Tribolium castaneum: one gene and its partner. The protein of the gene in region 2 purifies or fractionates together with the protein of the main gene of each other region. This does not show direct contact. Links are inferred from orthologs where the notes say so. Each region holds a gene or a part of one and is shown on either strand. Other genes may lie near its edges. The genes, in order: Usp32 and Ctr1A.

What was found.
Region 1: the proteins of Ctr1A (region 2) and Usp32 purify together in Homo sapiens (co-immunoprecipitation; 3 studies listed by BioGRID and IntAct, with this or other methods). This does not show direct contact. The link is inferred for Tribolium castaneum from reciprocal best matches to the Homo sapiens genes SLC31A1 and USP32.

What each region holds. Positions count from the first base shown.
Region 1 is NC_087401.1:13,771,241-13,775,765, reverse strand, and holds the start of Usp32 (ubiquitin carboxyl-terminal hydrolase 32), read right to left. Parts: upstream 2,869-4,525; 5' UTR 2,732-2,868; coding exon 2,674-2,731; intron 2,540-2,673; coding exon 2,077-2,539; intron 1-2,076. Other genes in the region: PIP4K (phosphatidylinositol 5-phosphate 4-kinase type-2 alpha), read left to right, coding at 3,173-3,307, 3,355-3,452, 3,505-3,615. UniProt on the Homo sapiens protein: Deubiquitinase that can remove conjugated ubiquitin from target proteins, such as RAB7A and LAMTOR1.
Region 2 is NC_087397.1:10,500,272-10,504,743, reverse strand, and holds the start of Ctr1A (high affinity copper uptake protein 1), read right to left. Parts: upstream 3,007-4,472; 5' UTR 2,741-3,006; intron 2,674-2,740; exon of another isoform or gene 2,605-2,673; intron 1,357-2,604; exon of another isoform or gene 1,017-1,356; intron 955-1,016; exon of another isoform or gene 933-954; 5' UTR 931-932; coding exon 796-930; intron 746-795; coding exon 618-745; intron 569-617; coding exon 473-568; intron 189-472; coding exon 159-188; intron 1-158. Other genes in the region: anaphase-promoting complex subunit 15, read right to left, coding at 3,198-3,356, 3,405-3,464, 3,514-3,636.

The DNA of each region.
Region 1 (4,525 bases), on a different chromosome or scaffold from region 2:
TTTTGTTTCACATTTTTTGAATTTCTTTTGAAAGTTAATTATTTTCAACAAAAACTCATAATTTTTCCAATCAACTTCAACACAGAGCGAGTGATTTATTTTTATTGTTAGCATTGTTATTATTGTGATATGACAATAGACACTAGTGGAATTTTTTGTCTTCTGTTTTCTATGAAACCGTTACATCTTATCTATCCTAATAGATAAAATGTAGATAACAGATTAATACAACATAGAAAATTATACTTTTATTTTTTTCGAATTATTAAATTACAATTTTAAACATACAAAAATAATTTTTTATTTCCGTTTCACAATTTCTCAATTTTGCTGACAAAAAGGACTTACAAATATTTGCAATGTTCTCTTTCATTTTTTTATAAAACACTGTTATTCACAATAAAAAAGTTGTTTGAAATAAGGGTATAAAAAAATTTCTCTCATAACTTAAAAGTTTTGAGCTACGAATAATTTTTCTTATGACATAGAAATCATTTGGCAAACTAGCAAATACGATAATAAACGTTGGAAACAACCTATAATACGTAAATAATAGAAATTAAATTGCTTGGAAAAAAATTTATTTTTATGCTTAGCTGCTGAACGTCTTTTCTCATCACTCGAAAGTTGGTAGTAACTTTTAAAGCACCCTGTATGTATTTTTCCAATTGTTGTTAAAGACCTTGTAGCCATCAATTCAAGAATAAATTCTGTTTATTCCTGTAATAGATGTGAGAAAAAAATAAAGATTAATGTCACCAGTCACAAGGTTCTTCCATTAAATTATAATTTAATAATTTCTATACTAAACGACCAAAAATAAATTCCCACCTTCAGTAATTATCATGTATAGAGGTATATTTTATTATAATTGCACACTGATGATAAAAAAACATAAAATTTCGGTTATGTAATGCATTTATTTAAAAATTTTAAAAATTCTAAAATCAGCAATTTTAAACATAAATACTACAAAATGATTTTTCTATTCTTCTTATGTGTTTTTTTCCTCTCTATAATTTTGTTAAATAGAATTAGATATTTTTTTTTTATTATTATATTGTTTATTTTTATTTTTTGTTATTTCTCATTTATTGTCTGGGTCAAAACCTTGATCAGCTTTGCTGCCTTTTGGTCCAATTTGTAGTAGAAACCAAGTTGTAGAAAATTTTAATTTTATTATCGTATTTTTTTTCTTGATGTAATTAATTGTATTGTAACTGTTTTACTGCCACAAATAAATTATTATTATTATTTGAGAGATAAAAATTAACGAAAAATTTTATTTTGGCATTTCTACTCATGATTATTAATGTTATAAATACAGAAATATAAAAAGAAAATGAATTCACTTTCGGTCCAATTTCCAATCCTTAATAACTCATGTACATGATGTAGATTATAAAGTATGCCGGGAATGGATAAAAAATGAACCTTTTTACCTTTAATTACCCCACAAATACCAATTCCAAAGTTCAACAACACTAATTTTAGTGTAATAATGGAAAGACAAATATTTTTGTTCGATTAAACCTTCACACAAGTAATAAAATATTAGTTCCATGATTAGCTATTTACTTAAAAACAATCCCATCAAGTAGGTATAAATCGTTAAAACAATAAAGTAATATATTTCAAGTAGATTAAAAAGTGTCCACTTATCAAGTAGCTATTTTAAGCTCGTCGCGTTAAAAAAAATACAACGGAATAGATTCAATTTTACAAAAATAGGTAACTAAATAAACGACTCGTGGTGATAATAAACAAATGTCAATATTCTTTATCATTACCACATGTTTATTTCATTGGGAAAATTGTTTACGACACGGAAAAAACTATTCGTGGAAACCACACAATAAAAAACCTTTACATTATCTTAAGACCATCGAATTAATAAGAATTTAATTTATCTAATCAAAGGACTAAACTACCGTTCCCCCCCTGACACCAAATTAATTTTTTATCTAATCACCAATGATTTTTATTAATAATCTTTTGTCATTAAACTTGACTTTGTTACAAAAATAGTTATCACCAATGAATGGACGCGCCCTTGAATTGCCATCCCCGACTCACCACTTGGACAAGATCGTCGCCTCCTTGTTGTACTGTATCCAAGCACTGAAATGCTCATAGGTCACTCGATCCTGTCCCACGGGGAACAGCGAGAGCATCGTCCTCTCCCACAGGATGTTGGGCCTGTTGGGCTTATCGGGCGGCAGCGTGCCCTCGGTTTGCAAGGCGCTGTAGAACTCGCTCCTGGTGATATGCGTTCCCGAATCGTTGCAATACAGCGTGAACAGGAAGCGAATTTTCTCGTCCTGCTTGCCCTTGGTGAGCAGCACCAGGCCGCAGACGAGGTCCTTGAGGGCGATGCCGCGCGGCGTGCCGCCGCAGGCGAGGTACAGCCACTCGGCGATCGCCTGGGGCACCCCATCGCCCAGCACGTGCAGGATGAAGCTCTGCTTGCTCAGGAGCTGGTTGCCGCCGCTCAGCCGCTTGAACGCCTCGCATATCCGCTTGTATTCCTCCTCAGACACTGGAATTGGATAATTGGGGGGAATTTCGGGTTAGGCATTAATTAGCAATTAGTTAACAACAATAATATTTACGTAGTTATGTCACATGATGTAATGACAGGTGAGGGGTTTGGGTGCAGGGTTTGATACCTACTTCGCTTGACGGCATCCTCGTAGGGCAAGCACGACCGTTTCGAGTCCTTTGCTCCCATTTTCACAATTTCACGCAGTCTTCTAACATTTTACGAGGGTTTTCAACGCACGACACTCACAACGACTGACTGCTCGGCTGACATTTCCTGGGGATTTTCGGCCCGCGAGGTTGGTCTTCGCCACACTCACCAAGCCCTAATAACTTATTTAAAACGATTATTATTGGATTTTTTCAAGTTTTGGCGCTTTTTGGGCGTTTTTGCGATAACGGGGGCCGTTTTTGCGTGGTTTTTATGTGCGGTTTGGTGGTTTTGGTGACTTTGGCGAGCATCGCCGAGCTCAGCCGATAACTAATCAATGAAGGTGTGTGTCTAAACAATCAGATTTTGTCAAAAAACGGTCCTTGAGCGAATTTATTGAAATTCCTGTAAATTGGCCAGGTTTTCGGGATGGTTAGCACCTAAGGTTGAGACTGGACTGGCGGCCATTTTGCGAACCAGATGATGTCTTTGCCGAGCAGCATGGGGCCGTCGAAGCTCAAAAAGAAACACTTCAGGGTGAAGCACCAGAAAGTCAAGCTTTTTAGGGCGAACGAGCCGTTTCTGTCGGTCTTCATGTGGGGGATTAACCACACGGTGGGTATGTGCGAGGGTTTTGGGGCAAGTTTCAGGGTTTGTTGTAGATTAATGAACTGATGCATGTCACCATCCCTGTCATGCTTCTGCCAGACGATTTTCGGGCCTATTCCAAAATCAAAGTTGATAATCATCTGTTCAATAAGTATAGAATGGTAGAGAATTGGGGGAAAAATTGGTGATAATGGTTTTTTTAGAGAGAATATGTCCTCGCATTTTAAGGTTAAGGAATACTGTCCTTTGGTGTTTAGGAATATCAGGGAGAGGTTTGGAATTGATGATTTAGACTATAAGGAATCTCTGACTAGGTGAGTTGGCTGTAATTGCAAAAAAGTGCAATGAAAGTTGGCTGTGATAAGTGAATTATCGATAATTCTGATAAGTTTGATTTCGAGAAAAACCAACTAGATTTCATTATTGGGTGGTAATTGAGTTGTTCACTAGGTTCTTAGGTCATATTTATTTTTCCCAAGTGTTTGATAACTACAGGTACAATTAATTACAAAATAAATGCCATTGTACAGGAATGATGTTGAGATAAAGACAGTAATCTTAATTTAAATAGGCAACCAGTTATACAAGCTACAATTTCCCAAATCTTTTTTTTAACATTTCTCGAATTATCTTGGGATCAAAATATTTGTATGGAATCAAACAAATAAAATATTAATCTCGAGTGATTTTTTAAATTTTTGGGTGTTATTACAAGATCTGGCAATAAATGAGTGTCTGGTTTAAAAATGGGCCAATTTTTTGAGCAGTTTTAGTAATTTTTTTTCAAAAAAATTGTTTTAAGGCTTTAAAAATTTGCGGAAAAACTCATGTAAAAAGCAAAAATATTGTTATTTCTGACAGTATTTAATTCTTCTTCTCAAAAGAAAGCGTCTATTTTGAAGTGATTTTTTGGTTTAGTTTAAAAATAAACGTATATTAAGATGCTCGAAAAATGCAATAAATGAGTATCTGGTTCAAAAATGGGACAATTTTCCGAGCAGTTTTAGTATTTTTTTTCTAAAAAAATTGTTTTTACTTTAGAAACTTGCTGATATGCTTAAAAAAGAGGCAAAAATAAATACTTGTTTGACTTGATCTTATTATTTCAGGCTCGTTTTTTGTAAAATATTGTGCAATAATTGAGTTCCTGATTGAATAATTGAATAACGAATAGTTATATTGTCTTAATTTGGTGATTTTTCAGTCTGTTTTAACAAATACTTA
Region 2 (4,472 bases):
TAAATAAGATTAATCGGTCAAGGAATTGCCAAATGTTAAAAGTTAATAAAGGGTCGGTTATTTGTAGGAAAAATAAAACGAGTGAAAGAAAAAGCAAAAACAAAGTTATTGTGCTGCGTTCTACGTTAGGTGCGTTTCCATACTAATTTTTGACTTACGGTTGTTTATGGATGACTTCTCCCACCATACTAGAATTAGTCAAAAAATCAGATTTAATTAATTAATGTAAATAATATAAAAAACATTTTTAAGACGCTTTCATGCAATTAAAACCAGTGTTACATAAAAATTTCGTAACAAAAAAAACTATCGCTTAGATTGAAGAATTTGAAATGAATATGTCTGCTGATAATGTTCACGTAGCCAATTTGTTTAATAAACTTTGATCTAGCATTGAATCATTTTAGTTCAAGCGAAATAAATCTTTACACCAAAAATCTGTTGTGACAATTGATTGAATTTTTAAACTTACTGGACAATCTGGTTGTCTTCCGACACGACCCCCTTTTCTGGAAGCGTAACGGCCCTGTATTGTAGCGCGTTGTAGGTTTTCCAAAACAGGTATTCCCTAAAATGATCCAAAAAAGCATAAGCGACTCCAAAAAATCGCCTTTCACCTGTAGTATTTCAAGCCTTCGTAAAGAGCTGCCATGAAGAAAATCCCAATCATAGAACCGATCAAACCACCAATGGTTGAGAATTTCCATTGGTCAAAAAGCACAGTTTCATTATAGCCAGTGTGAAACTAGAAAAAATCATTTTGGAAAAAATTCATTAAGAAAATAATTTGCCTACGGCCATGGACATCATATGGCTCATCATATCATGTTTCGGCATGGTTGTGCCGCCCATATCGTGGCCCATATGACCCATCCCTTGATGCATGTTGTGGTCCAGCGGTTCGTGCATGTCGTGGTTGTGGTGTTCCATTTCTGAAAATATTTTACATGGACACTGTGATAATTTGTGTCATTTTATTTAACCACCAAATTGCTAAAATAAATAAAATGACTGACCTACGTTTAAAGTAAAAGAAATCGTTGTTGTCCGCTTACTACAAGGAACTGAACTGGTCTAACTTTCATTAATACGGTTACGGTTAGTCAAATAAAAAGTATTCTCGATTATTATCGTCCACCGATAGATTTGTGTGGAGGGAAGTTATCACTCACAAACGGAAATAACAATGTTACGCTCAGAAAATTGTACCCAAAAAGGATGCGACGATCAAAAACCGAAAAAACGATATTTTATCGGTGGCACTACTTTTATCTACTGTCTACTGTGAAAACAATGAAAATTTGTTTGTCATTATTATCTTTGTTTCCAATACCGATGATGAAATATCAACAGCAATTTTTTTTTTCACGAAAATATATTTTGAAATAAAGGTGACCGATAAAAATACACAAAAATTGCATTTTTCTTAAATGGCAACGTCCTGAAAACATTTCATTTGCTTACTTCATGTAAAATAAAGTACAGTCAATTGCTGAGGTCGCTGAATTCATGAGATACCCAATTACCAATTCAGAATAGTCGCAACTGTTTTGCTATTCAAAGAATTTGGAATGTTTAAAGTCTGAAATTTTAGCGGCACAAACGTCATCATGATAATAGTACAGATTGGAATTTCCGGCCTATTATTGTGTTGAAGTAGTACCACCTTTGCTATTAATTAAACCCCTACAACTGAATTTTGGTTTTTATTTAGTCACTTTCAAGGGTCTACTTTTGTAAATTGTTTACTACTGATATCGACCGCATCAGCACGTAAAATCCTCTGTGGTTTCCTGTGGTCAAAATAAGCCGAAAACAAGTAAAGGACGTAAAATCCCAAAAGTTTGGTTGCTATGATCGCAAATTTGTATCTTCAGACCACGGTCTATTCATTTTATTGAAGAACTTGTTGCACACGGCTGATTTTCGCCTTGCACACGGCACCATACAAGTAGCTTTTCTTCAAAATTCGACTTTAAGTACGCTTATAGAAAGGTACTTATCGTGATAGTCTTACATTTTGCACACGATTCTATAGCTTCGAACCGTGTGCAAAATAAGTACTGCTTGGTCACGTAACTTGTATTTGGCAACAGTTCCAGTTGTTATCAGTTGATGTGAATTTGTATTCGATTATTGGCGGTGATGTGATAAAAACAGGACAAGGCTTCAAGGAGCTACGAATGTGTTAACAGAATAAAGCTCATCAAAATTAAAATCGAATTAATTGGGTTGTGATTACTGACACATTATTTAAATTTAATTTTATTAAATTAGCCTAAATAAAGAATGGTTGGCCCAGCTGTTAGATAATTGCTAAGCCCGACACAAAAAAATTAAAGAAAATCGAGTGGCTAGAAGTTGGGCCAGCAATAAAAATCTAATATTCGTATTTGTTTATCAATTAGCCAATTAAATTATGGTCCTAATTGTTCAACAACAATACAAGCTGTAAAATGTTTTTATCGGGAATGAAACACACTTTAAACTCGCTTGTTATCTCATACTTCCGCAATGACTGTACTTTGATTAGAAAGTGATTTACATTTATTTTTTATTAATTTAATTACACCAAAAATGAAAACATATGTTACAGGAACATACCTCTGTTTTGAGAACAATACCTTGCAAATTTTTCTAAACCTTCAACGCCTCAGGTGTCTTGTTCTACGAACTTACGTAATTAACAACAAACGTAATTCGCTATTCGAAATAGGAATTCAGTAAAAGTAGTACTAACCTTAGACTTGTCCTTATTCGCAAAATTCCAGCTAAGGCCGAACCACTGTCCAATGTGAATGAAAATTGGCGGTGAAAGCTCAACTACTCCAGTTTTAAACAAATAACAATTCTTGTACCTTTCACTTTGAACTTAGAATAAGGAGACACAATAGGTTATGTCGGAAAATTGTAATAAAAGGGATTGCAACTAATGGTCACTTATTTAACAAAAATAAGGATGCTGATTTGAGCAAAATGTATCGTTAAAGCATTTTGAAGACTTAATTAAATGTTTAAATAATTGTTGTGCAACTTCAAAATTTGACAAATGACAGAATCAACTGGGACAACAGCGCTACCAACCCTTCGAAAAAAATGAGGTTAAGTTAAACAAAAAATTCTTGAAATAAATATTTTTTATTTAGAATTATGTACAGCTTTGTAGCACTAAGAGCTAGGTAAATATTTTAAATAAACTACACCGTGGCATTGGGGTTTATTACGTCGACTGGCGAATTCCTTTCTTGCGAGATGTCCATTTCGATTTCATCCTCTTCTTCCTCATCGTGACTCTCGGACTCGTCATCGTCATCGTTATCGTCTTCGTCCTCCTCATCATCGTCCTCATCCAAATTCTGTGGCTAAAATAAGAAACAAGACCAAACAACGCGCTCGTCCCTTACCTCGCAAACCGTTTTACCAATGGGGGCTAAATCACTGTCACGTTGCGATATGGATTGTAGCTACAAGAATTAAATCAAAATTTGTGGAAAATTAGTAACTTTGGGGTACCCAAGCTTGGTGTTGTGCCTCTAATTGCGACACTTCCTCTTCATCGTCGCAAGGCTGATCAACGTCAAACCACAACGGATCGATCAATTTTGGTTTTAGTTTGGGAAATAACGGTATACTCATATCGCAAGGGGGCGAAAAAATTACAGACAATTTTTCAAACTGTCACTATTTTGTCACTACCACTACCAAATTTAGGGTCATAATTTTCCTAAGAAAATAAGCAGTCATAAAATTCATACTGATCGAACCGGTGAAATTGAAATTGAACCAATTCCCGTTAAATAAAGGAATTACCAGCAATAGCGCACTTGTCTAAATAATTTCATAAGATCTTTTTTCATTTTTGGTGTTGTCTTCACCGACATCAATATCGCCAACATGACGTTTTCACTTTCCCTAGAATGTGGTCGAGTTAGCTAGGTTAAATTTGTTTTTCAAATGAGATGGTTAAAAAAACTGGGGAAAATATGGAAAATCACAGTATTAAGAATGAATTGGTTACTTGTTTCGAAAAATGCGCTTTCAAGCAAGGACAATCGTTCCGTGCCCGAGTTACGCAAATCTACGACCCTTCCAAGTTTTGGATGGTTGTAAAATACCGCGAACTTGAAGTGTTTCAAAAGTGTATCTTCAAGTATTATTACATGAATCGGAAGAAATATCAAATACCAAAAGACAAACTTGTGATGGACTTGTACTGTGCTGTTTTTACTGATGGTGGTTTCTATCGAGGTGTGATTACTGGCTTTCCTGCCACTCACCAGAAGGACCAACAGGCCCAAATTTACTTCATTGATTACGGCATAGTGAAAGTTGTGGAAATGAATGACATTTATTTTTTGAGTGATAAATTTTGTCAAGTGCCTCATTTTGCCGTGAGGGCATCGCTTGCAGGTGTATGTCCTAGAACTAAGTCTCAGTGGACTTGTGACGATGTTTTTGAATTTCATCAGTTG